Danio rerio: one gene and its partners. The protein of the gene in region 4 purifies or fractionates together with the protein of the main gene of each other region. This does not show direct contact. Links are inferred from orthologs where the notes say so. Each region holds a gene or a part of one and is shown on either strand. Other genes may lie near its edges.

Evidence for each region.
Region 1: the proteins of eif4g1a (region 4) and eif3ja purify together in Homo sapiens (affinity purification with western blotting; 3 studies listed by BioGRID and IntAct, with this or other methods). This does not show direct contact. The link is inferred for Danio rerio from reciprocal best matches to the Homo sapiens genes EIF4G1 and EIF3J.
Region 2: the proteins of eif4g1a (region 4) and eif3ba purify together in Homo sapiens (affinity purification with western blotting; 7 studies listed by BioGRID and IntAct, with this or other methods). This does not show direct contact. The link is inferred for Danio rerio from reciprocal best matches to the Homo sapiens genes EIF4G1 and EIF3B.
Region 3: the proteins of eif4g1a (region 4) and hnrnpd purify together in Homo sapiens (affinity purification with western blotting; 5 studies listed by BioGRID and IntAct, with this or other methods). This does not show direct contact. The link is inferred for Danio rerio from reciprocal best matches to the Homo sapiens genes EIF4G1 and HNRNPD.
Region 5: the proteins of eif4g1a (region 4) and eif4a2 purify together in Homo sapiens (affinity purification with mass spectrometry; 6 studies listed by BioGRID and IntAct, with this or other methods). This does not show direct contact. The link is inferred for Danio rerio from reciprocal best matches to the Homo sapiens genes EIF4G1 and EIF4A2.
Region 6: the proteins of eif4g1a (region 4) and pdcd4b purify together in Homo sapiens (affinity purification with western blotting; 3 studies listed by BioGRID and IntAct, with this or other methods). This does not show direct contact. The link is inferred for Danio rerio from reciprocal best matches to the Homo sapiens genes EIF4G1 and PDCD4.
Region 7: the proteins of eif4g1a (region 4) and eif3f purify together in Homo sapiens (affinity purification with mass spectrometry; 3 studies listed by BioGRID, with this or other methods). This does not show direct contact. The link is inferred for Danio rerio from reciprocal best matches to the Homo sapiens genes EIF4G1 and EIF3F.

The regions. Positions count from the first base shown.
Region 1 is NC_133200.1:34,325,564-34,329,632, forward strand, and holds the start of eif3ja (eukaryotic translation initiation factor 3 subunit J-A), read right to left. Parts: upstream 2,801-4,069; 5' UTR 2,709-2,800; coding exon 2,687-2,708; intron 2,550-2,686; coding exon 2,461-2,549; intron 1,991-2,460; coding exon 1,933-1,990; intron 689-1,932; coding exon 597-688; intron 188-596; coding exon 70-187; intron 1-69. UniProt on the Homo sapiens protein: Component of the eukaryotic translation initiation factor 3 (eIF-3) complex, which is required for several steps in the initiation of protein synthesis.
Region 2 is NC_133178.1:40,726,185-40,729,684, reverse strand, and holds the end of eif3ba (eukaryotic translation initiation factor 3, subunit Ba), read right to left. Parts: intron 3,471-3,500; coding exon 3,398-3,470; intron 3,314-3,397; coding exon 3,191-3,313; intron 3,114-3,190; coding exon 3,035-3,113; intron 2,942-3,034; coding exon 2,803-2,941; intron 1,968-2,802; coding exon 1,842-1,967; intron 1,747-1,841; coding exon 1,669-1,746; intron 1,555-1,668; coding exon 1,446-1,554; intron 710-1,445; coding exon 609-709; 3' UTR 597-608; intron 519-596; 3' UTR 44-518; downstream 1-43.
Region 3 is NC_133185.1:5,488,728-5,492,993, reverse strand, and holds the start of hnrnpd (heterogeneous nuclear ribonucleoprotein D0), read left to right. Parts: upstream 1-1,466; 5' UTR 1,467-1,657; coding exon 1,658-1,818; intron 1,819-4,266. UniProt on the Homo sapiens protein: Binds with high affinity to RNA molecules that contain AU-rich elements (AREs) found within the 3'-UTR of many proto-oncogenes and cytokine mRNAs.
Region 4 is NC_133177.1:19,167,769-19,171,936, reverse strand, and holds the start of eif4g1a (eukaryotic translation initiation factor 4 gamma 1a), read right to left. Parts: upstream 2,801-4,168; 5' UTR 2,607-2,800; intron 2,493-2,606; 5' UTR 2,375-2,492; intron 1-2,374.
Region 5 is NC_133177.1:8,053,991-8,057,490, reverse strand, and holds part of eif4a2 (eukaryotic initiation factor 4A-II), read right to left. Parts: intron 2,491-3,500; coding exon 2,358-2,490; intron 2,200-2,357; coding exon 2,060-2,199; exon of another isoform or gene 1,975-2,059; intron 1,734-1,974; exon of another isoform or gene 1,663-1,733; intron 1,573-1,662; coding exon 1,404-1,572; intron 1,354-1,403; exon of another isoform or gene 1,283-1,353; intron 1,214-1,282; coding exon 1,104-1,213; intron 1,081-1,103; exon of another isoform or gene 902-1,080; intron 1-901. UniProt on the Homo sapiens protein: ATP-dependent RNA helicase which is a subunit of the eIF4F complex involved in cap recognition and is required for mRNA binding to ribosome.
Region 6 is NC_133197.1:31,553,001-31,556,500, reverse strand, and holds part of pdcd4b (programmed cell death protein 4b), read left to right. Parts: intron 1-1,906; coding exon 1,907-2,001; intron 2,002-2,083; coding exon 2,084-2,197; intron 2,198-3,500. UniProt on the Homo sapiens protein: Inhibits translation initiation and cap-dependent translation. May excert its function by hindering the interaction between EIF4A1 and EIF4G. Inhibits the helicase activity of EIF4A. Modulates the activation of JUN kinase.
Region 7 is NC_133176.1:11,701,863-11,705,976, reverse strand, and holds the start of eif3f (eukaryotic translation initiation factor 3 subunit F), read right to left. Parts: upstream 2,801-4,114; 5' UTR 2,774-2,800; coding exon 2,662-2,773; intron 2,483-2,661; coding exon 2,412-2,482; intron 1,274-2,411; coding exon 1,194-1,273; intron 40-1,193; coding exon 1-39. UniProt on the Homo sapiens protein: Component of the eukaryotic translation initiation factor 3 (eIF-3) complex, which is required for several steps in the initiation of protein synthesis.

The DNA of each region.
Region 1 (4,069 bases), on a different chromosome or scaffold from region 4:
TTCAGAATTGAATCTTTTATCCGTTTTAAAAACAAATGTAGATGCATGTTATATACAGAAAGCACTCACCAAATGCCTCTTTTGCTAGTTCTAAGTCTGAATCCTCCTGTAGTTGTTTCACTCTGAGTTTCTCTGCCAGTTCATCTTCTGGTGTGAGTGGTGTGTCTCTTTTTGTCTCCTCTAACTGCTTTAAAAATGTAATGTTGTATACATTTAATGAAAAATATTCTTACAAAATGAATAGCATTTACAATAATTGTTGTACTATAATATATTTTAAAATCTAATTTATTCCTGAAATGTCAAACTCAAAATCTCAGGATCATTATTGCAGTCACATGATCCTCATTCTAATATGATTTGCTGCTCATGAAACACTTATCATCAATGTTTTATAATCAGCTATATATTTTTTGTTAAAACTGTGATATATTTACCCCAAAATCCTTCATGAATGGTTATAGTTATAATACAAGTTCAAAGTTTGTAGCCATATCAAGATAAACTTCAACAGTGACAGCAAAATAAAAAAATAAAAACCCACAATGTGAATTAAATGTGCTTAATATCAATAAATTGTTACTGCGCCAACTTACTTGTTTTCTGAGCTCCTCTTGTTTTTTCCTTTGTAAATTTTCCTTTTCTTTTATCTTTTCACTGAGTTTCTTTTTTTCTGTAGGTTTAGCCTCTGCATATGAAAAATCCAAACAAAATCGCATACAAACGTTACAAACTGAAGTACCTGATCAGGGTTTCTGCAGGTTTCATCCATTCAAATGTAAGAGTTTTTAAGACCCCTTTAAGACATTAAGAATGACATTTTAGACTTATGCAGGGTTGAGATTTATCCTAATGGCCTGGTATTGTCCTGAGGAATTGAGTAATCATTTTTAGTTTTTTTTTCTCCTGATTAGGCCATTTAATTTGGGGAATTTTCTGTAAGAAATGGCTAACAGCTGTTGGGAATGTATCTTTTTGCAATAAAAAAAACTTTAATTTAAAAAATAAGGTTTTATTGAGACACATTGTGGATGATTGGATGGATTTCGGTTGAGTAACTTTACTTGGACAAAACAAAATTAAGACCTGTTTAAAATTATTTAAGACCTAAAACACAATATTTGAGTGAATTTAGGAGTTTTTAAGGCCTAAAATGTAGTTGAAATTTAAGACTATTTAAGACTTTTAGGACCCTGCAGATGCTTTGTAATTATGTGAATTTAAATGTGGATAATTTACAGTCTTTTAAAAAAATATTTTTAAAATAGTTTGTATATTCATGCATGTAGATTTATTTAGTTATAGAGCCAACTACAAAATAAAAAAATTCATAACAGACGTCCCATTTTGGTGTGCAGATATACACAGTTAGCATGTCAAATGAGATGATGTAATATTTCAAATATTATTTGTGAAAAAAGCATGTCGAAATATTGTGAAAAGGGTTTCTCGTCATTTAGTGTAATGTATACTTATTTTGACCTGTACTTAAAACAAATTAACTTAAACTTTATGAATTTTTAAAAGTATTAAAATCTATGGTAAATAGATACTAATAGATAAAACCTAGTAGTTCTAGTATTTCTCTTGGTTTCTCAATACTTTATTATTATTAAAAAAAAAATTTTTAAATAATTTTTGCTTTGTATAAAGTTAGTTTTATGTACTTTAAAAACTTGCTTTATAAGTAATTGAACTTGGTTTAAAGGACAAAGGCGAAATTACAAAGATTAAAAATGACAGTAAGTATTTTGAGGCTTCAACGTGATTGCTTAAATAGTTTAATATATCATCAAATTATTATTGTTCTTCACTGATAGCCTCATGGTCACTGCGCAACATATGCTTTGATGCTTCAAAATCCTTTTTGGCCTTTGACCCCATTTTATCCTAACAATGCACTTTTCCCCCAACTCATGAACATCACTGTACCTGTCTTTTTTTCCTCCTCTTCCTCCTTTTCTTCCTCTTCATCATCATCCCAATTATCCTAAATGGAAAGGAAGAATACTTTTAATTAATAAATTAGTCCACTTCATCTTCGTTGCTAGCCTAAGAGAAGCATTAACATTCTCAAACTTTCCTTTTATGAAATCTCCTTGGGATGATCCAATAATTTTAAATAATCAACAGGTGACAATCTACAGTGACATGCTGCTACAAAAGGCCATCTACACTAACAAAACTATTAATTGTAATTAAAGGCCTAGAGAAATGGAACTGACTCATATAATTACTATAATTTCACTGTTTAACTTATGACAGCGTATTTAAGCAGGTATACACCAAACTAAATAGACACGTATTAGGACTTATCACCACGTTGTTTTGACACTCTTGAGTTAGCAAGAGTAGCTAGCTAAAGTTAGCCAACTGTAATGTCTTGATATGTAGGGATTAAAGAAGAGTTAAAACAGTTTTTTTTACTTGAGAACGACAAATTAAGGGTTCGTTACTAACTTTCACGTCGTCGTCCTCATCCTCGCCCTCCCATTTGTCATGAACTGCCGCCTTTTTGATGGGCTCCTCAGGCTCGAAACTGTCCGCATCTGGAAAACGACCGATTGTTCAGACAGATCACTTAATGACAGGCGTATTTTTGGCGTACGTTTATCTGGTAGAAAAGATTATATGTTTCCAAGCGAATAGAAGAGAAAGATAACGGTGGAGTTTAAGAAATTCTCACCCCAAGAATCGGCGTCCGCCATGATGTCAGAGTCGCTGAGGGGAACGAGAGAGTGAAGCTCAACTCACTGCACCAAGACTTCCGGAAATTTCAAAATAAAGGTCCACCGATGGACGGTAGGGAAATTTTACAAACAAGTAAATTGTGCAGTACCATGAGGAATACCATTATCAGACATTGTTAATTTTTTTAACACACAATCAAATAAAATGTCGTTTTGTGGCTTTTAGATTGTGTATTAGTTCAAGACAATCATTTGTTTGCTAACTGTAACTTTTATTAGATTGTGTAGTGTGTGTGATCTAGTGCGGCTTCTAGAAAACAAACAAAAATATTGACTCATCCTGCACTACTGATTTTGTCCAATTAAATTGAGTATATGTACATTGACTTTTAAGATCTGAATTCTTTTTTTTAATGTGATCTTTACTTCCTGATTGATATATGAAATAAAGTTGGTCTAGACTGGACAAGAAGTACTGCATTAAGTTGATTTCTTGCGTTATGTCTTTAAAATATGGAAATGTATTTTCTGTGGAGTTTCTGCACTAGCACGCTTCTACTGATGACACTTGCGTTTACGCAATCGTTCATCTCGTTTTACACTTAAACAACTTAATAAATGATTAAGTCTATTAAACTGATTGTATTTCAATTACATTACAACATCGATGCTATTAAAGGAACCTTATAGACGAATTACCATGTTTTTAAACATTCAGGATGCGCGCGCAGGGAGTGGCAGAAAAAAAAGGGGAGCGCTAGCATTTACAGCGAGGGAATGACATCCGATGCGGAGTTTGTTGACTTAGAAGTAAGTTATACTGATTACATATTATATATATATATATATATATATATATATATATATATATATATATATATATATATATATATATATATTATTATATATATATATAAATATATATATATATATATATATATATATATATATATATATATATATATATATATATATATTATTTTTTTTAATATATATATATATATATATGCATGATTTACATAATGCTTTCAACGTATTATAACAGCTTGTCACCCAGTGATAAGTACAGTGATTTGGCAAAATTAACGTTAAAGTGAGTGATGTGAGTCGCGAAAGCACCCTCCCAATGAATATTGGATAAGACGAAATGGCCAAGCATCCTGCCCCAAATATACAACTCTCTCATCGAAGCTCCAAGTGTTTTAACAAGATTAAGAAATAAGTGTAAGAAATAATGTTCCATGATTACCAGATTCAAAACTATGTAGTGCTAAAAACAGAGGTTCTGCTTGGCCAAAGACAAGGAAAGCAGACGGAGCCAACGTTAACTTACACATAGAGGTAAAGTTGGTTTTATATTCACACATTCTGACTTTCTC
Region 2 (3,500 bases), on a different chromosome or scaffold from region 4:
AGCTTGCTTCAACAGAAGAAAAAAAAAAAAAACACAACAAAAGTTTGGATTTCAGTTAAACTTTATTCCCTTGTTGTGCATTTAATATCAGGTAATCTGAATGGAGGAGGATACAGACCACTGTAGTGCCATTTTCGCACACTAGAGTACAAGTTTGCCTTTGGGAAAACCTTAGGAAATGAAATGTTTTCCTTCAGTGAGATGATGTAAAAACAGTTTATGGCATATTGTGCCATGGTGACACCCTTTTGATGAGGTAGATCAACCGACGGCAGGAACAAGAACGTGTTATGATCAGATCCACCGAGAGCAGGCCAGAATGATGTTGGCAGGGCGGTTCCTCTCAGAGCTGGATGATTTTTGTTATTAAAAAGCAGCAGTCAACAGTGGCACAAAATTCTCCTTCCCCAGTGACCAGTATTAAAAGGCACTTGACTGATGATAACAAGGAATTCTCTTATAGGGTGATCCCTCAATTTTTTCTCCAATGCTTGTCCACACTCCAGTAAAAACGAATTCTGAAGATAACAAAACATCAGGTCAGTATTACCGTGCCAAGGTATGTCAAAGATGTGCCATAACACTGCACACATTACCTGCTGTTGCAATTACAGATCTCCGATGGGAATAATTTCTTCATTGATGAAAAACTCAATGGTCTCTTCCTCCCAGTCATCAACATTGCTGTCCAGCTCATCAGTGTCCACGCCTAGAAAGCATAGAAAAATCCATTGAGGACTAAAATCCCATTCAACATATGTACACCTCTAAGAAAGGGCCGCTACAAACATAACATTTTTCACATGGAACTGATCACAAATGTCCAGCTGAAACGCACTACCATTTCCAACTGATATCAACATGTTCAAATGCATCTCATGACCACCTGTGTTTGAATTTTGTCAAGATATTTTATTATTTCGTCACTTTCTGCTTCACCTTTACAAAAGCAATCTGTATTTTGCACGTTTCATCCAGTCACAAGTAAGACTAAGACCATCATGAATGAAATTTCTGAATTATACAGGGCTAAACACTATGGATTCTTTTCTAATGACCCAGTTAGGCTAGTTAAAAAGATTTGTACCTGCTTTAAAAAAAATTTAATAATAATAATAATAATAAAATGAAGTTATTTCTTAGCTGTATACATAAAAAAATGTGCAAAACAATCAAACACTAGTCGTACACAAACCTTTTTTTAACTAAATTATATATTTTTTAAATGTATTTAGCTAGGGTGAGTAACAACAAGGTTGCATAACTAAAAATTAAACTGACTGCAACTGAGTATAATGATCAAGATTAGATCAAGAAACTGCAATTAGGCAACGTGGAATAATCACAAAAAACCTGATCTAGAGAAAAGAGAAGTGCACTGAAACCCTGTGCTTTCTGAGCAAGCTGCTGATGGATGAATTAAACTCGACATTGGACATCATTACCTCCTCTGAGTTCGAGGCGGAGAGGTCTCTGCTCCTGGTACATGTCCATGGCTCTCTTGCGGTGCTTGCGATACTCCTCCATCATGGTACGTCTCTTGTCCACCAGTTCCTATAAAGCACAAGACACTCAAATCTAAAGAGGACCACTCAACTTGAAAATGTGTGCATCCTAGTGTGGTAAAAATAAAAATAATCATTTGAAAGTAATAATAAAGATGCATACCTTTGAAGCCTTGGACTGGCTGAGACGATCTTTCTGCTCAAAGATCTTGGAGTATTTCTTCAAGTCCTTCTTAATGAGCTGTGGGATTAGAAAGGCGAGGAGGGATTAGAGTCGACAGTGAAGGGAGCTGAGGAAGTAATGAGAGTGACCCTGCGTCTGACCCCTCAGCTCACCTTTATCTGCTCTTGAGTCAGGAGAGAGGGCGGACGAGGCCTCCATAGCAGCTGGCAGAAACGCTCCTTGTTGTTCTTCTGCAGCAGGCGACCCTGGAACGTCCACAGCCAGAAGGCATTGTCCACCTATAGCAAAACAAGAAACATTTGATTTACAATACCTAAATCTTTTACATTTAATTTGATTTTTAACGTGCAATTTGATCCTGTCATTTTTCAGCATCATTACTCCATTCTTCATCACAAGATCCCTCAGAAATCCTTCTAATAAGCTTAACTGATGTTCAGGAAATATATATCATCATAAAACGTGAAAAGGAAGTGCACCTTAATGTGGTGCAATTGCAAGTAGGTTATTTGATTAATGGAAAGCCTTTTATTTATAACACATTTTGCAACACGGCAAATGTCTTTATATTTAATTCATTTAATGGATGCCTAGCAAACAAATGCTCTTCTTAAAACACCTTACTGAATTTTAAAACAATGTATAACAATCATTTGACGACATATAAAGGGTTAAATACAGTTTATTTTTTATAAGGCACTCATTGAAATACTAATTTGTTTCTAGTAGGTTTTATAAGACTTCTATTATTTATATAATCAATGTTAATAAAGTAACTTTATATGGTTCTTTACCTGATAAAGATCACAGTGAAAGCCCCAAAACACAAATCAAATGTCATTATAAGTCTCTCTAATCTATTCTATGTTTATTTTTATTTTACCAAACAAATCAGAATAAATGCACTTGAACGATGTTGAAACATTATTTAAATAATATTTTGACATTTTATTTTAATTTCAATAATACAATATTTTAATCTACATTACTTACTGCTTTGTCTATTTTGCATTTCTATCTCTATAAAATAGATTGTAAGATTAATTTGATGCAAACAGCAAAAAGGGAAATATCGTCTTGAACAAATTTTCATTTGGACCATATTAAAATCACCTTGTGACTCCACCAAGAGACAGATGTCACGACGAATCGTCCAGTGGGGTCCCACTCCACATCTGAAGCCATGTAATGCTCGGCGATGTTCATCATGGTGCAGTCTGAAGTGTCCACAAAAGCAAGAGCTCCATTCATGCTATTGAGTGAAACATAAGAAAAGCACAAGTTAAAAAAAAAACAATCTAAAACCTGAAACATTAATACAGCAGAGTATATATTGTAAACAGACCTCCTCAGTCCAGCCAAGACCAAAAACTGCCCCTGGGGACTCCAAAAGATGCTGTTTGCCTGTTGCTTGTCGAACATTTCTAAAAACAACACATTTTTGGTTTCATATTCTGAAAATTTGACATTTATTAAGAAAAATCCATTAAAAATCACTCACTAATTAGGTCGATTTTTCCATTGCTCTTCACATGGTAGAATGATGAATTGATTCTAGGAGATTCTCCATGTAGCACAGCAAATTTGCTTCCATTTGGCTCCCAAGCAAAGGCAATAATGCTGTCTGTAAGATGAAGCATTGGTAGGTAAAGACAGTAATAAAAAGAAAAACACCTCTAAATTCTTAACAAAAAAATCCCCTTTTTACCTTTCATCTCCACCACATCAACAGGTACCTGCTTCTCTCTCATCCTGAAGATCTCAAAGTTGGTGACAACACCCTGAAGTAGAAAAGTAGAAATTGAGAAAAT
Region 3 (4,266 bases), on a different chromosome or scaffold from region 4:
GTGATCATAAAGGAATAACATAGAAAAAGTTGATAGCAATGCTAACAGGTAATGTACGGCTAAAAGGGTACAGAGTAAAAGGCGCCTCTCCTTATTTTTCCTTTCTTTCCCTAATTCTGATTATTGTACCTTGTTTGTACCTGCCAGCGGGGACTTCATTGCAGGCCGTGTGTCACCTGACCACGTCATTCTCTGGGCGTCGCACATAGCGGGCAGAGAGCACGGCATGCACGAGAAAGCGCTGTCCTGTGGTATGGTCTCTTCCAACTTCCTGTACCAGCGTAAAACAAACAAACAAAGGAGATTTTCCCCCATTTCATTAAGTTGTTGGTTTTCGTTAACAGTTCCAAATGTTTTTTTCCAGGACTTTGTTAATGTAACCTAAAAGTGATTGATAACTGCTTTGTTGTATGCTCTTTTTTTCAATTGTAGTGCTCTTGTATTTCAGTTGTGGAGCTTCAGTGATTGATTTATTAATTTATTTCTTTGTAATGTTTGGTTTTTGGTTACCTCCCCATGTAAATAATTGCATAAACTCTCTCATAATGCTTGCTTTTTCTTTAGAGGCCATAGAGAACTTCAAATGGGTACACCTCAGTGCTTTTTTCTTAAGCATAGCCTTTAAAGATCATATGTAAAGTGAGTTTTACGAAGCCATTAAAAGCTGAGAAATCTGATTTAAAACAGTTCAAGGATTGGCTAAAGTTTTTAATAACCATACCGTTTACACAGGATAAAGGCTAACCTGTTTGGGCTCGCTCCTCGATTGGTCCACAAACCGCTTGGAGCTGAGGCTTTTGCTGGCTTATGAGCTGTTCTGTCAGTCGGAGACGTTTAACATATGATCTTTAATCCTTAATGATGGTTTTCCTAGTTTAAAATCGACAGCTCAAGAAGTTAAACACTGAAACATGGACGTGCTTTGCTCGAGGTGTGGAAACCGGGTGATTCATCTCTGCTCTCTTCTCTTGTAGGTGGGCAGGTTGACTTCGACATTGCTCCTCGGAGGCAGCTTGTGTGGAATCCTGTCCTTAAACAACTATTAAAAACGTTATTCGGTCCTCTGGGGACAAATCCAGTGTCTAACCTTGTAAATAGCGAGGTGTTTCGTTTCCCAAGTTTGTCTTATTCTGTGCTTTGTTCAGATTGAACCTGTAGGTTTTGTGCTGATGTGTTCTTAAGTCTTGATTAGGAAAAGTGTCCTTTATTTTGTATTTTTAGTTCTTTTCCTGACGTTTTTGGATAAAGGGATTAAAAATTCTGAGAAAACCAATGTTTCTTTGTCGTGTGATTATTTTATACAACATTTATGACTAAGTTTTTTTAAAATATGTAATGTACATATAATAATTCAATATTATGCATTTAAAAGGTTTGAGATAAACAAACTAGATTTCCAGCCCTACAGCCAATGAGCGTGAAGCGACGTTGACGTATTTTGTAACCTTAGTGACGCCATCCCGTTCAACTTCCGGTTCTCCGCCATTTTGTGAATGGACGCCGTTGCCATCGACATTCTGAAATCAGACTAATACAAACGCGAATTTGAGCCGCATTAACACGATTTATAGGCATTTCGCTTCGGTTACGACCTAAGACGTTTTCGTCTGTAGAAACGACTGTAGCCGCGCGTGTTTTCGCCAATAGTTGATCAAATATGTCGGAGGAGCAGTTTCTGGGCGAAGACCCGACGATGAAGATGGAGGAAAATGATGATGGAGAAGGTTTCGGCGAAGAGCAGATGTCGGGGGATAATGGAGGACAGGGAGAAGCCGAGGGCTCCAAGATTGATGCCAGTAAAAATGAGGAGGACGAAGGGTGAGTTTCGGCTCCTGATGCACCATGGGAACAGACTGTAACCGAAGAATAAAATAACCTTGAGTTCATACATCGCTTCCCAATAGTAGTCGATTAGATGAGTAATTATCAACAAGGAATCGTTTTATATTAATTTAAAGTATTATAATCATTGCATTAATATTTGTGGTCATTATGCAATATTAATATCGTTATCAAAAGTGGCCGGTTGTGTAAATAACATGAATATGTGTGTCGGAGTATCGATTGATCGCTTTGCATACGTTTGTAGTAATTAATGTGGACTATCAATTGAAATGCTTTCAAAGCATTTGGTGATTTTAATGTAAATGAAGGTTTATTAAAATGTTTTCTATCTTTTGTTTAAAATATAACTTACTAGTCATATCCTAGTACAGGGTATCTGCTGTGTCTAAAATTGTCTTGAATCTCAAAAGCTAAATTTTAGGCTTTAAGAAGTCTAAATATACTGAAACATCGTGTTGTAGGTCTTAAATCTTTTTAACAGGTCTTAATTTTCCCTTGTTCATGTGTAGCGACCAAATCTAGCCATTAACAGCCATACATTCCCAATCTCTATAAAAGTCGTTTTAAAAATAACATTTATACCATAAAGTTATTATTACTTACAGTAACATTTGTTTAAAAGTTACTGCCAAGGATACTGACCTGACCTATATATTTTCATCAATAAATTATTATTATTGTATTATTAAATTTAAATACAGTGGACAAAAGGTAAAAATATTCAAATGAAAAAAAATCCTTAGCATTTAGCCTTGTATATTTCTAAAATTTCATTCATAATCTTCTTAAAAAATCTTAAATTTAACTTGTTGAAAGCGGCAGAAACCCTGTAATATTGTGTCATTTACATGCATTAACAATGATCAGTTAAATTTTTATTTAGTAAATTGATGAAAGAATAATAAATACTTTAACAGATGTATTGCCCGTCTCACTGTAAAGTGTTCCCTAATATTCGTTTGATAGTTCACCCTAAAATGAAAGACACTCAAATGGTTTCAAACCTTTTTCAGTTGAACACAGAAAAAGATATTTTGAAAAATGTTGCCAAGCTGTAGCCATTGACTTCCATAGCAGGAAACATATACTGTGGAAGTCAATGATTTCCAAAAATGTTCAGAATATCCTTTTTGTGTTTTTACAGAAAAAAAAAACTCATTGAGGTTTGTTCAAGTGGAGGATGAGTGAATGATGACAGAATGTTCTGTTTTGGGTGAACTGTCGCTTTAATGGACAGCTGCAAGTTGACTCATTTTCCAAATACATTTGCCTTTCAAATGCAGCTTTGTCAAATGTCAATTTGACAAAAGCATATTTTGAGAAACTCGGATTTAGAACTGAATGGTGTTTTTTTGTCTAGTATGCATAAATGAATTACTTTATGACAAAACAAGACTGAAATATAATCATCTATGGTCGGTTGCAGAAACTACTTAGACTAGTCATACAAGGTAGTCATTGTTTATATAATTATTATTTCCTATAAAGACTGGTCATAACTACAGGTATACACGTGTAATAGTCAATATGGAAAGTTAATAAACATCAATTATTTTGCTGCTAATCTGCAATGCTAATTTATTTTTAAAATGAAAATTAAATCTAATATTTATGGTTGTTTTAATTTTTGTAAGAAAATAATGAAATGCTTCTGTTAATCAACAGATTCTCTTGACTAGCCTGGAAAGATACTCCATCACAGTTACATTTTCAAATGCACATCATAGACCATTTTATGGGACGTAAACAAAAACAATAGTCCCAATGTATTTCCTGTTTTACATTTTTTATTTCTGTAGCTTTCGAGAATCCAAAAAGAGCCACATATTGATAAATGATGTTATGACAGCTATTTTATCAAGTTACGATTGAATTGCCTCTTGTTACAGTTATGAAATAGTTTGATAACATGCAGGAAATGTTCATGGGCCAATGACATGACCACATTGAAATGGTCTATAAGCGACTCAGACTCAAATGCAGCATTCGCGAAGACGGCATTCAGAAGAGCAGGATTTATTTACAGTGAACCGAGGTGCACTGAGTCTAAAAACACTGTTATCATGAGCTGCTTATGTTAAAAGTCACAGTGCTGCACATCACATTACATATAATTACAACCCAGTATTTGCTGTCTGACAAACATGCTAATCCATATCATGTTCTCAGGCATTTTTAGAATAAATGAAATGAAGTAACCTATTTACTCTACTTTGGTGTGTTAAGTTTATCCCTCCCGAGTTGAAATCTGATTAAAATCAGATAGAAATCACTCTAAAGAGATAAGTTTACCTCAAAATTAAAACGTTCTCACTATTTTCTCAAGCCTCAAGAGATTCCAAATCCAAACCTTTGAGTTTTTATCTTCTGTTGAACACAAAAGATGTTTTGAAGAATGTTGGAAACCTGTAACCATTGACT
Region 4 (4,168 bases):
ATAGAGTGCTTGGACCCGGAAGCTGCTTCGCGTGATGTCACACTTAACAAGCGGATAGCAGTTCCTTCATGTTTTTATTTTATTGTTAAGAAAGTGAAACAACATGTTCTCAACATGTTGTCAAGGGTCTGTTTTCTATATCAAACTTGCGTAGTCTGAACTTACAGGGGGATGATGCAAAACTGAACGGTGTGTGTAGGCTACTTAATATTAAGGAAAAGCCTCAATCAGAGAGGCGAATGTCTGCAGCCCCGCCTCTGTTTTCAGATGTTTCTGTTTTCCCCCATCAACACTGAGACAAAGCAGCAGCATTTTAGGATGAAAACGGCCTCTTAAGCTTTTCCAAAACGCTCCGTTTTCGGCACTCAAAAACTTTGGCGTAGTGTGGATGGCATATCCATAGCAAAACTTATGTTTTCAAACTAAAACGCATTAGTGTAAACTGGGCCTATGATTACAGAAAAGTTTGAGCTGTTATAATTCACTCACCTTTTAACACGTTTTGATGAGGTTATATGCCGCTATCAAAAACCAACAACAACTACATGTTTTGAATGAGAAGTAACGTAGTAGTGGCGGGGTGAATTTTGGTGTGGCGCCTTGCCATGGAAGGATGAAAGTAGAGGAAGCCATGTTTCTATAATACATCTGCATGAATGCAAAATGAAAATAAACAACTGTTTCTGCTACTCTAATAAGCGCAAAACTACACTATTTAAATTTGTGTTAGAATCAAGGCTGCAAAGTATGTCCTGCCTTTTACATTTTATTCAGTCAATTGACTTACAATTTCAGAAGACAGCAGTTTAAAGCACATTACACCCTATCCTGTAACAAAAAAGTCAATAGGCGAAAAGTAGGCTGTGCTTTGTGGATTTCTGAATGCTTTGACCACATGAGCATTTACACTACAAAAGCGACACTACAAATCTGTAATCAAATGCATCTGACAACCTCTGGAGGTGGTCAAAGGTAGACAATACCAAACCATTCAAAGCCCATTTACACCAGCATTTTGTGTTATCCACAAAACGTGCAAGCTTAAAAATAGCCAAAAGCTTTGTTTAAAATGGGTTGTCAGTTATTCATGTTCACAGAATAAAGATTTTCTTAAGCATTACTCTAACGATGATGCATTGCACGCTCATTCACTTCCATCCCCCACACCATTAAAGTAAATGTTAACTGAGGTCGTCATTCCACAGATTTGGGTGTGCATTAAACTTCTTATCTGTGGTTATCAACCTTTTAACTATTCAGTACAGTAGACTGATTTATATGAGGACCAAATACAATATTACAAGAGACCAGATACTCAATTTAACGCAGAAAGCGAAACTCCAACATAAAAACGTAGTAAAATAATGTTAATAACATAAAACAGAAAATGTTTAATCAGGTTATCCACATAAACACTAAAGTGCATGCAGTTAAAAAGAAAAAAAAATTATGGGGTAATTTCCAAAATGTTAAGTTTCCTGCAAGCTCTGTTCCCGAAAGTGCGATGAAGCAGCGCGCTTCTCCTACAGACGTGTCACACCGCAGCCATGATGCTCTGCCGGCGCGGCTAACAGCGCTAGCCTCCTCCATATGGCACTGACACGTTAACATACTCTCAGCGGTCTCCACCAAAACAAGCTTTTCGTTTTAGAACAAAAAAGTTAACCACATCAACAACACGCTATACACATAAACCCACGTCGGAAACTATGTGTAGATTTAGCAAAAACAAACTGGGCCCTCAATAAACGTGTGGGGAAGTGTGCAGTCGCCCGCACTAGCTTATTAGCTTCCCTCTCCAAATCAATGACACACTGGAATCTGACTGGCATGTCGTTTATTTTGACTGTATCGTTATATATACACAACTTAATGTAAAGTTTGGCTTTTTGATGAGGAAAAAACGTTAAATTACGCACCGGACAAACTTATTCCACCGTCCTCGTGCTGGCATTCCCACAATTCATCACGAGATGATAAGACGTTTAACGGAAACAAATGCGTTTAAATACAACAGAACAACCGACTCATCAACAGTTCATATGTCATTTTAACACAAACCTTACGGGGTCAAATAGTCTCGTGTATTTATATTCCCGATATGTCAGCAGATTGACACCCCGAAACACGAGCAATACGAAAGCGTGAAACTGGAATAGCGAAAAACCGAGGAAATAACACCCAACATGGAGAAAATACTACACAGATATTAGTGGCAACTTAAGGGAGAGCGTTTAACGGAAAAAATAGTTTGATAGGCGAACACAACTCAGCATTAAACCCGTCGCCAGTGTCAATCTAGGCCCGCTTGGCCCCTGCGATTATCGGTTTAAACGCGGCTATCAAAGTTAGCATAGGCAGTAGGATTACTCACCGGCTCCGCAGACAAACGGGGAAACTTGAGGGCGAGACGTCGTCAACGTGTTTCTGGAAAGTTTCTTTTTGCTATTCTTCGTTGTTAACGGAGGGCGTCTTGGTTTCCTCGGGAATATCTGGGTAAACAGAGGGAGAAGTGTTGGCTAGCGGCTGACACTTTAGGTTTAAATCCCATGTAGCGTGCAAAGGCGAGAAAAAGTGACAGTATGGGGGAAAAAGAGAATAAATACAGTTTTCAGATGTTACTGCCGACAGAGCTGATGGCCCCAGGACGAGCCTCTTGACTGGAGGTCCATGTTTAAGGCGCGGATGGTGACGGATTGCCGGTAAGTTGATCACACTTGTCTTAATAAACGCGATTAGAGCAGAGCCATGGTGCTTCAGCGCTTCTCCCCTTGAGCCCGCAGAACCGGACGGAGTGCTCAGTGAGATGCGTGGGTACTTCCGGGTTAATCAACCTGAGCGCTGCGGGGTCATTCGCCAAGGGTAGAAATCATACGGCGCGATAATAAAAGTCTCTATCGAATAATCTAAATGTATTTATTATAGCCTCGCATACGGAAAATAAATACATATTCCAGGCCTGCAGCCAGCCTATCGAAATAGGATTTTAAACACTTTTTTTCTGGATCAGCTTTTCGCATGGTCACACTTTTTGATGTTCCAAAACATTGATGTAACAAAAAAAGAGATTTGGAATAAAGAAATAATACAATAATATATACAAAAATATATGCTTATTTTAAAAATACAAATTTAATAAAGGTGGTGCCGTAGGTAGTGCTGTCGCCTCACAGCGAGAGGGTCGCTTGTTCAAGCCTCAGCTGGGTCAGTTGGCATTTCTGTGTGGAGTTTGCATGTTCTGGATAAGTTGGCGGTTCATTCCATGGTGGCACACCCGGATTAATAAAGGGACTAAGCTGACAAGAAAATGAATGAAATTTATAACATCAAATATCATTGGAAAAAATAAGAATCTGTTTTTAAAAAAAAAGTGTAGCCCATTATCATTTATGAGACAAATAACAAACTGGCCAGCACATTCAACTTTCTCATTCAGAATTTGATACACTGATTCTGGCATCAAAATTGCCAAATTCGGTATCCCAAATTCTGTACCGACAGCCAACAGGATTCGGCTTGGGCTCAAACACTTTTTCGATGTGTTATTTTCACAATTCATTATGGCTTAGCAGTCAAAATGGGATAAATGAGCTTTGGTATGGGACAAATTCTGGACCTTTGTCAGTGAGGGGTGGGTCTTCCGATCCACTTAAACCTCCCCTATGGGCCTGTATTCACGTATAAAATGTAAGGTTGTAAATATCGGAACACCTCAGGATTGTGTGTTTAGTTTTCCTTTATTTTTCAATAAATAAGTTGTTCCAAACATTTTGAGATTCTTTAGTTTTTTGAGATTCTTTAATGACATACTAAAATTTGACAGGCCTGTCATTTCTTTTGACTGTATCGTTATATTTACATAAATTATTAAGTTTGGCTTTATGATGAGAAAAAAAATTGTCAAATCAGGCACCGGACAAATTAATTGCCAGTGATAAAAAGAATGCTGAAAAATCATACTCAAGTAAAAGTACCATTACTTGCCCAAAAATATAGTGCAAGTAGAGTAAAGTTATCTGTTGTAAATATTACTCAAAGTATAAGTAAAAAGTAACCTTTATAAAAGTACTCAAGAGTAGTGAGTATTATGCTGGAAAAAATTGATGCGTTGAAATGTAATTTGTGCGTGTGTGTGTGTGTGTATGTGTGTGTGTGTAAACGTAACATT
Region 5 (3,500 bases), about 11 Mb from region 4:
ACAGCACGAATGTCCACTTAAGTTCAGATTTTCCAACTAGAGCCTAATCGCAACTGTGCATTGAATTGACATGTAAATCACTTGCACTCGAAGCTTTATCCACGTCTGGCATGAACACAGCATAAGACCAATTGTCTGAAGTGGCCATTTCGTAGCCAAAGTTCTTGAAGCTGACATTTTCCTGGCATGTTTGCTTCAGTTAACAGGTACAGCTTCATGACTGCATTTGACTTAAGTTCCAGTGACTTAAGGTAATTTGCTTGTAAGGTTCCAATTGGGAACCACTGACTTAAATGATGAATTTGAAAGGATTCAAATGGCGCTGAAAAATAGCTCAACAGTACCAGTTGGCAAAACATGTGAAAAAAATAAAATGTTTAACAGTGGTAAAAACTAAAAAGCAAAAAAAGGTTCCTGATATCCCATGAATTGGAATAGCCATATTTTTAATGTCTGAAAAGGAGATTTTAAAATTCCATTATATTCAAGATATTCTAGTATGAATCCTGTGATGACCATGTTCTTTACATGATCATATGAAATAAAAGATGCACAAGATTGAGACATTCATTCACAAAACGGCACTCTGGGGGCCTGAAAACAACCATTTAAAAAAGCTTTTTTTTTTTTTTTTTTTTTAAATGGGTAGATATGGTCTTTTAGTGAACTACAAAAGCACAAGCAGTGAAAACTGACATCTCCTGCATTCATATTACATGGCATGTGCAAGTACAACAACTAATGGTGGAACACAATATTGTGCAGCTCAAGATTGATATGTATTATCTTGCAATTCAACACAGTTTTAATAAGAGTTAATTTGATTATGATTCTGCCATTATGAAAGAAAAAGAAAAATAGTGATGCTAGTATTTCTTCCACAATGTGTTCCAATCAATATGTTTGTTGCTCTGAGCCTTGAAACATAAGCCACTGGACATTAAGAAAGAGGTCCAACTCAGTTTCATTTCCAGCGCAGAGCCATTGCTCTTCTTCCGCATGATACTCTGCTAGCATCATCGCATAAACCAGGAGACCCTGGAGTCTGCAATTTTAGCACAGTTCTTTTGAGCAGAAGGGGTCTATAAAGATTCTAGACTTACTTGAATGTTTGTGCTTAATTTCTGGAAAATCTCATAGATTTGATCCTTGAAGCCACGGCTCAGCATTTCATCAGCTTCATCAAGGACAAACATCTTGATCCATTTGGGAGCTGGAAGTAAACAACATTACGTATTTTACTTCTTATACGCTTAAACAGCTCAAACAAGCTGGTCAAAAAGTATGATCAGTTAAATTAGTGATTATCTCCATAACAGGTCAGTCCCGAAAGATGATGCCATCACTTCATACTTTGCCCTGCATGTTGTTTCAGACTAAATCTATGTGTATCGATTACTTACACAGATACCGCCTGTTCAGCATGTCAAACACACGGCCTGGTGTGCCAACCACAATGTGCGGAGCCTCCGCCTGGAGCTTTTGCATTTCGTTCCGCACATTGGTGCCTCCAATGCAGGCATGGCATGAAGCACCCATGTAGTCACCCAAAGCCAAGATTACCTTCTGAATCTAAAGCATAGACAAAAATGCAGAGTTTAAATGAAAGGAACACCTAGTAAACACAAGTACTGTGTACCATTAATGCAAAGCACTGGACAAGTATGATCAGTTGAAAAGGTCTTCTCCACAAAAGGTCAGTCCCGAAAGATAGTCATACCATCATTTCATACTTGTGCAAAGCTCTATACAGTTACAATAATTGTCAAAAAAAATCACCTGGCAGTCTAACAACCTAATTTCCAAACACTAGCAGTAAATAATCCAGCTCATTAAAGAATGATTGATCGATTAATCTGCCCGAAAAACTACATGGATGACTGCTTCCTGCTGAACAGATGATCAAATTATGCAAATTACAAACAAAATCCACATTTATTGACTGATAAAGCAGGAAGAACAGCAAAAGAGTACCTTGAATTTGGCTACTGCCAGAATATGCCGCCTTGGTCTGAGACACACATCTTATTGTGTTATTGTGAGCTCAGGTACAGCATACCTGCTGAGCGAGCTCTCGGGTTGGTGCCAGGACCAGAGCCTGAGTCTCTTTCTGCTCAATCTCCAGCTGCTGCAGGATGGAAATGGCAAACGTGGCCGTTTTACCAGTCCCTGATTGGGCCTGCGCGATAACATCATAACCTATGGAGAAATCAAGCATCAATAAAAGGACAACAAAAATGGAAACTACTTAACTGTTAGTCTACAAAGAGATGAGCAATACTAAAACCGGATCAATATGTACAGTTTGATTACCAGAGAGGTAATTAAAAACTATTTGTAACTTGAGCTCACTTTACCTTTTATGCAGGGAATTATAGCTCTCTGCTGAATTGCTGAGGGTTTCTCAAAACCATATGCATATATTCCACGAAGGAGAGTTTCCTTCAAGTTCATGTCATCGAAATTGTCCGTAATCTCATTCCAGTTGCTCTGTAAAACAATGTATATGAGATTCAATGAGAATCAGATTGATTACACTTAAATGTTGAACATCTTACTTCAATATTAGAAATTCTCCAACTTAAGGCTATTGCATTTATTTGGAGTAGACATCAAGTTAAGCTATCACTTTCTATATTCTGCGATGTCAATCAATCAAAGTTTGTTGATTTTTTATTTCCAAGATGTTAGTCAGGGGTAGCATTTTTTTTTATAACTGCACAAAGTCCACTAAAACTTTGTATGAATTCTCCACCAAATCTCTGACAAGAACTATAGCTTACTCTACCTTGATCCCATTTGAGGGTTAAAGAAGATAAAAGATTTTGAAAAAAAGGTTAATCAAACTAAGGACAGACTGTAACAAATATTGAGAACTTAACATGAAGTCCAACAACCTCAAAATGACCAGTTAAAAAGCAAGATTTAAGTGCAGCCTTGATTTAAATGCGGAAGGTCTGATGACAATGCATGTACACATGCATGTCACTTGTTTTTGGATATTAATCTCACTTCAAAATTTATGTAATAACACACTGTGTGAGAGAGAGAGTTTTAATTTTATTGCCATTTTAGCGTCTATGGCTATGTAATGGCAAAATGAAAATAGATCAAGTAAAAATATTCTAAGAATTAAGTCATTAACAGCAATAAATGTACAAGGTAAAATATATAAATAATAATAATAATGATAATATAGAAGAAAAATCTAAAACAATAACAATTTCCTTTTGATAAAAATTCTACAACTTTAACACCCACTGTGCGACAGGAAAAACCTAGATTGACAAATTGCATCAAAGAGGGGGTAATTGTTGCTTCAAATGATTGAAAAAAAAAAAAAAAAAAAAAACACGGAAAGAATTGTTTGAAAATTAAGTGGGAACAAACATTCTTTGCTGGCTGCATTTGATGTCAGAAAGTCCCCATTCCAAACTTCTCAAATAGTATATGAGGTTGGTGCGTTCAAGTGCTTTGAAGAAAAGCAGAACCATTAATTC
Region 6 (3,500 bases), on a different chromosome or scaffold from region 4:
TTTAGATGAACACATGTAATAATAAAATGTTAAATAACATCATATAGTATACATAAATGCAATACATTTTCCTTAAAGTTAAAAATCTAATTTATTTTGCCTGATTACTTTTAAACTGAATTAAACATAAAAATGATAAATGTTACAAAAAACATCACAAATCATGAGTGTTTTCCAAAATCTGATCAATAATAATAATACAGATTTAACATTGCAGATCTTGTGATGTGACTATTGCGGGAGCGCACATTGCAATATCAATGGTAAAATGATATGTTGTGCAGCCCTAGTTTACATGTACAGTAGTAGTGCATCGTAGTGGATGGGAAAATGATGCAATGGTTCTATATGCTTCAACGTCCAATTTAAAAAGCATGTCTCTCTCTCTCTCTTTTTTTTTTTTTCTTAAGTATGCTTGTGAGATTGACCAAATTCTTTCATAAATTTTAAATGTGGCAAAATCAAAGCGAGATGATGGGATTGTTGCTGCTTGGTGAAAATAAAGCCCTTTCACATCAATCACAATATAAACCGAGTTCTGAAAATTGTTCTGTATCTAAAACAACAGCAAAGTTTAAACCACAATTTAAGATGAAGAAAAAGAACACAGCACTTCAGTAGTCATAAACTTGGATTCTGTAGCAGATTTGTGTAAAAGGAAAATAGTTTGCTATATAATTTTTGTCAAATACAAAAAAATGATTGTAAATTGATTTGTTCGTAGGTTTGTGTATATTGCAATAATGTGGACGACTTTTCTAAGCACTAATGACTAGGAAAAAACCTTACTCTTGGAAGCAGCCACACATGAAGTGTTTCTGGGAGATTATGGCATGAGATTTTTACAGATGAACATTGGATTTAGAATTTCTGGATGAAAAGATCCTCTTTTTGTAAGTTATGCAATGTAATATGACCTCAGGAGTCAGTTCCTACAAATAAATGCATAAGCATATCTTTAAAGAATGATAATAATATACTTCTGTATGCTAGGTGACCTATAAGTGCAATATTTTCATTTTAAAACCCAAGTATCTCCTTTGTGCATAAAAAAAGTTACTTTGTATGGAAATTTGTGATTGACATAAGTGTTTTCAATTTGAAATATTAACATGCACAATTATAGGTAATGAAAACACAGCTAATATTTGCTTGCACTTTTTAAAATCTGTCAGGAACGACATGTGGTGATTGCTACATAGGCGGACATGTTTCTTATCTACAACTCAAAATCACTTAAAGGAATGGTTCACCCCAAAATTAAAATTTCTCCTTCTTTTAATCACACTCGAGTGGTTCAAAAATGTTTATAATTAATTTATTTCTTGTGTTAAACACAAAATGAAACGCGTATTCTGGAAACTGTTGGAAAAAGCAGCCATTGAAATCCATAGTAGAAACCAAAAAAGGTTTACCATTGAAGTTAATGGCTGTTTTTTTTTTTTTTTTTTTTCTTCAACATTCTTCAATACATCTTCATTTGTCGATGAAATAAACCGAAACACTCACATTATCAGACAATAATATAATGTAGATATTTATACATATTTGAATTGGCATGGAAGTTTATCTAGTAAAGCCTGTACACTTATAGCTTATTAAGCCTTTCACATGTTGGTTAGGTTAGGTTTGGTTTCTGTTTCTCAGCTCAGTATCAGATTAGCTCTTGTGGTCAGAGCCCTGCACGAATCGAGAAATGATGTCATGCTACTGTGAATTAAATGAACCTGCCTCTGTTTTGGGGAATTATTTCATACTAGACATAACCCTGTCATAGCATGACAATAACATGAACAGTGGCTAAAGCATGAGGCTAAAGAGTCGCACGGTTTCTGTTCTGCTTTTCTTCCTATACATCAGTTTTTTTTTTTTTGTGTGTTCAAAAGTATGTGTTTTGCTTCTGTAGGTGGTGCTGGGGGTAAAGGTGTTTGGGGAACACCTGGAGAAGTTTATGGCGAAGATGAAGTCGATTATAAAGATCCCAATTACGATGCAGAGCAGGTATGACCCACATTGTACTATTGCTTTCGTAAAAGTTCGTAACCAATTAATTGGCATGTAATCCACAATTTTGTGCCTCCAGGAAAACTGTGTATACGAGACGGTCGTCCTTCCTCTGGATGAAGAGGCGTTCGAGAAGACGGTCACTCCTATCGTGCAGGAGTACTTTGAACATGGAGATGCCAATGAAGTGGCGGTGAGATTGTTATGACCCCTATTGCTTGTTCATATCTAATCATTAAGCTTGTTTACGTGCATGCCAATGTGCTGATAAGCAGCCCAGACAGAATTTGCTGACTTGTTTTGCTATTTCTGTGCAGTGTTTGGTTAAAATATTGATGCAAAATGATTTTTAAAGTATTAGATCTGAAAACTTGACAAATAATTATTAAAAACTTTTATTTACTTAACTAAAATATTAACATTTGCTTAACAGGTTTTATTTAAGCCTTACAATGCAATTCCATTTGCAAACACTTATTTGTAAGCAAAGCAGGTCTCTTATATACATGGTGTCAGGTGGGTCTTAAAATGTCTTAAATTTCTATAACTAAAACTAATAGGCCTTAAAAAGTCTTAAATTCACTGAAATATGGTGTTGTAGGTCTTAAAGACTTTTTAGCAGGTCTAAATTTTTCTTTATTTTCCATATAAAGCTACAATCAAAAATCTATCTGAAATTTACAAATGTGGTTTAATTATCTTCCTTACATCCTTACAATAACATTAGTTTAAAAGTTCTTATTGTATTTGTGCATTTTCTTTCTTTCTTTTTTTTAAAGAAAAGTTATGGTAATGAAAATATGTATATAGGTCACTAGAGTTTGCTTGTTTTGACGCATAATTTAAAATATTTTCCTAAGAAATAACAAAATTTTTATTTTATTGAGGCAAGTAATAAAAAAATTCCACTGGCCATTACAAAAATTCCATAGCGTTTTGCCCTCTAAAAGTCTGAAATCTAATTTATAATGGTTTTAAAAATGTCTAAAATATGTCCTAAATATGACTTGAAAAGTGAAACCTGCAGAAACTCTGATGTAATACATCCACTAAAAGACTTAAAATTACAAATTCTATTGCACAAATCATTTAAATGTGCCATAGAGTGCATAGATTCAGATGTTAAATTTTTCATCATAGTAGTTGTGTCTTAGGCCCCGTTTACACTAGTGCGTTTTAGTTTTAAAACGGTGTTTTAGAATGAAAACGATTCGCATCCACACTAGCGTTTCACCCAGCGTTTCTGAACAGCTCTCCGTCTTGCTCTCCATCAAAACCACTGAAAATGCACATCACGTGACCACACACACACACACTGGCATGCGCTGCAGCATATCTACCTGTATGAGAGCTGTGCTTGTTGGACTGCTCATCAAGGATCTCCCGCTGGATCTAATCTCACTATATTTGTTAAATGAGGTATTTAATTCCTCTTGTTATCTATATCTAATGACATATTCCCCGACTTTGGTCTTTTGAATCTATGACTTGTTCTC
Region 7 (4,114 bases), on a different chromosome or scaffold from region 4:
AGAACCGAGTGCTCAGTGATGTCAAATCCTGTGGCATACCTGCAAAAACAACACAGCCTCTTTCTTCAGTGAAACAACATTCCTTAAGTTTATCTGAAATCAGATTCTATTATTATATTTTGAAATATTTTAGATAGTCATTTTTGTAATATTTTCCATTTTAAGTTCTAATAATTCTGTTACCTGTATAATTATTCTTTTTTGATATATAGATATAACCTACATTATGGAAGCTACCCTGTCACAGTAATCAATATATGAACTTATCGCATTGATAAGCCGTGTCATATTATATTGACATGACCTCAGACATTTTTAGTGATGCAATATATATCGCCCATACATAAAAATGAATTCTAGCAACATTTCAGCTGGTTTTGCAACATCTCGATCTCTATTGAGGTGTCAGTATGGTTTAAAAAGCTCTACAGGTTTTACTATAAATTGCTATAGAAGATTTTCATGTGGGTGTCTGACAACTAAAAATAGATCTGCTAGCAGATATCACAGCTTCTGTTACTTTTTGCCTTGCACCTTTTTGTTAACATTTATTATTATTTATGATATGCGTTTTTACAATCTCATTCCAAAGCCATAGGATAACTAAATTAAATAGTCTTAACAATAAAATATTATGTGTTCTTTGTATGAGTGTACTTGCATTGTGGTGATATTATATTGTCATTCTGGTATTATATAATGAGTGGCATAGAATGGTATTAAAATCACAATAAAATCATTTATCGCAATGTATTTTGGTGCAATATACCGTACAACAAAAACTAGATATATCGTGACAGGCCTAATGGAAGCTTGCTTTTACAATGGAATAAAAGGCAAATATACTTAAAAAAAAGAGTAGCAATATAAACTGAACTGTAAGAACAACAAATGAAAATGAAATGAATATCTGAATTGTGAAATATAAACTTGTAAACATGAGATATACATTTAAAATGGCTGCAAAAATAAATCATGGGACTGTAGGAGAAAAAAATATCATTTTATTTAATTTTCTTATTTTAGTTATTTTACCATAGCGCAAAGCAAAATGCATTAAATGAAAAATAACAAATGTTCACAAAAGTTTCTAAACCTTCTAAAAATATAACAAAAAATGTGCTTACAACAATAACTTAACAAAACTTTAGCAAAGAAAAGAATTATATTAATTTGGAAATGCGGCCACATACCATCCAACAATGACTTCACTCGGCGAAACCTTCTTATGAAGCTCATACATGTTCTTGGCGAACTCCATGTCAACAGCCACCTATTTAAAAAAAATAAAATAAAAATAATTTTAAAAGGTAAATAAATTGCACAATGATGATGATTAAATGCTGGTGCTCCTTAGTAAAGCATAAATAACATATGGTACATGTCCAAAAATACAGTAGCATGTAACATGACACTTTTGAATTAAGTTGGTTTTATATTTGAACATTCAGACACTCGTGTTCAATAAAATAGTAAAGCAAATTTTAAAGAGGCTAATACAGATTCATTCATTTTCTTGTCGGCTTAGTCCCTTTATAAATCCGGGGTCGCCACAGCAGAATGAACCGCCAACTTATCCATCAAGTTTTTAAGCAGAGGATGCCCTTCAAGCCGCAACCCATCTCTGGGAAAAGGCTAATACAGATAAATTAGCAAATTGTTATAGTTAAAAAAAAAAAAAAAAAGCTTATGAACTCTATGAAAGGTCCCTACATTGTTTACCAGGCTACATTGAATAATCGGTCTGAAATGCATGACTTCAAAATAGGCATGGGACGATAACCGTTTTCAAGGTACACAGTGATTTAAAAAAAAAACTGATGTTTTAAAACCGCCAAAATTATCTGCTATAGATGAATTACCAGTTTGTAAACAGTAAAAAAAAAAAAAAAAACTGGAGCGCTACCATTTAGCAGAGCCGTAATCACTATGTAATACTGTGAAAATGTGATATTTATATTAAAGAATATTAACGTCAGAATTGTATACCGGCCCATGCCTACTTTAAATCCACATTAGCACCATTTAACTGACTGTAAACAATGTTGTACTTTAATAGTCACTGGCTGTTAATTTGAGTTGACCGTTTAGGATTTGACAAAGAATACCTTTCTGAAATTACATTAAGAAGGTGAAAGTCTGAATGTGCAAATATAAAATCAACTTTACCTCACTTCAATTTTGGCTGATGGTTTGTAAGTGTATTTCAACCAATCAATTAGCTAAAGATGCATAACAACAGAACATGAAATACCACAGATGTCTCACTCGAACCCTTTAGACCATTACAAAGTTACAGTGAGATACCTGTGATGTGAAATTGTTTTGTTTTTCGTTATGCCTAAAAAGCTACATAAATGTCTGGCACACACTAATGTAAAGGATGTATTAGATGATGCTTTTTTTCTCACCTCATCTTCAGACTCGTTGTGAGGAACAGAGAAGCAGTTGGTGACATCGACTGAATGTTTATCTGCTGTTCCTGTTTGACACACAAACACAACCACCAGGTAAGTGATGCTGCTGATCTGTACAGTTTCTCATCCACCCCAGCCATTCAGCTCGACTACAACACATGCTCCACAAGACCAAGCGACGCTCATGTTGTTTGTAATAATCGCAACTGTCTCATAAATCTCACACAAGAATTCAATGACCCACCTAATAATGTCCCGATCACGCGACTCGCTCCTTCATTCCTGCGCTCGTATGAGTCCACAATCGAAGCCAAAACCACCGGGTGGATTTTCACGACCGGGCCGTGCACCGCCATGATTTCGAAGAGGAAGTAAAAGATGATGATAAACAGAGAAGAAGAGCGCGTCAGTGGGATTCGCGCTGCCGCCCCCTAGCGGATGTAGGTGGCTGACAAAATAATGTGTAAAAAATTATAATCAAATAAATAATTAAACACAGCATGTAAAGTTTTAGTGGGTGGGTCAGGTTAAAGTTCTTCGAGGTTTGCTTGGTACATATCCATTTTTTCAATGGACAATTTAATAGCAACACAACTGCATGTTAATGCCAAAAATCGGATCAGCTAACCACATGGCAGCAATCCAAAACATTTAGACATGATGAAAACATGGCCAAGACAACGCACATGAAAAGATAATGGAGTAATTCATAGTAAATTGGCTACGATAGTGTTTTTGAAACAAATGATAGTAAAGTTTATTATACTGTAGGCCTATACTATAAAGTATTAAGTTAACAACACATGCTAATAAATGCTACTGCATTATCTATAATAAACTGTGTAGGCAACTGTAGTATATTTTAGTTTTACAACAGTAAATTGTGATGTATTATCATGTAGCCTAATATATAACTAACCACAGGCTATTGGGCAACTTGTTTTGCTATAGGCCTAGTTGTTGTAATAACATATCATTTAGGCCAGAGGTATCCAATCTAGGGCATGTGGGCCAAACTTGGCCCTTGATAATCTTTGATTTGGCCCACCATCCCATCTGAGAAGAGAGACTGATAGGGAGGGTTGGGACAATTGCCTTTAACAGAGATCTTAATTTCTAATTTAACGCAACCTTGGTTTGTTTGATTATTTTATTGCTGATCTACAAAAAAAAGGTAAATGAAAATAAACAAGTCAAGGCAGAGGGTGCAGCTTTACTAGTGTAACTCCATTCTGTTTTAAATGAATTTTGTTTTACTATAAAAAGTTCATTATACAGGTGAGGCAGTGGCGCAGTAGGTAGTGCTGTCGCCTCACAGCAAGAAGGTCGCTGGTTCGAACCTCGGCTCAGTTGGCGTTCCTGTGTGGAGTTTGCATGTTTTCCCTGCCTTTGTGTGGGTTTCCCCCACAGTTCAAAGACATGCAGTAAAATGGGTAGGCTAAATTGTCCGTAGTGTATGAGTGCGTGTGTGAATGTGTGTGTGTGGATGTTTCCCAGAGATGGGTTGCGGCTGGCATAAAAAACTTGCTGGATAAGTTGGCGGTTCATTCCGCTGTGGCGACCCTGGAATAATAAAGGGACTAAGCCGACAAGAAAATGAATTAATGAATGAAGTTCATTATATAATAAAATCTGCATAAGATAATATGAAGCAATGTTAAAGTTATTTTTAAATATTAAATTAGGAAACCACCAAT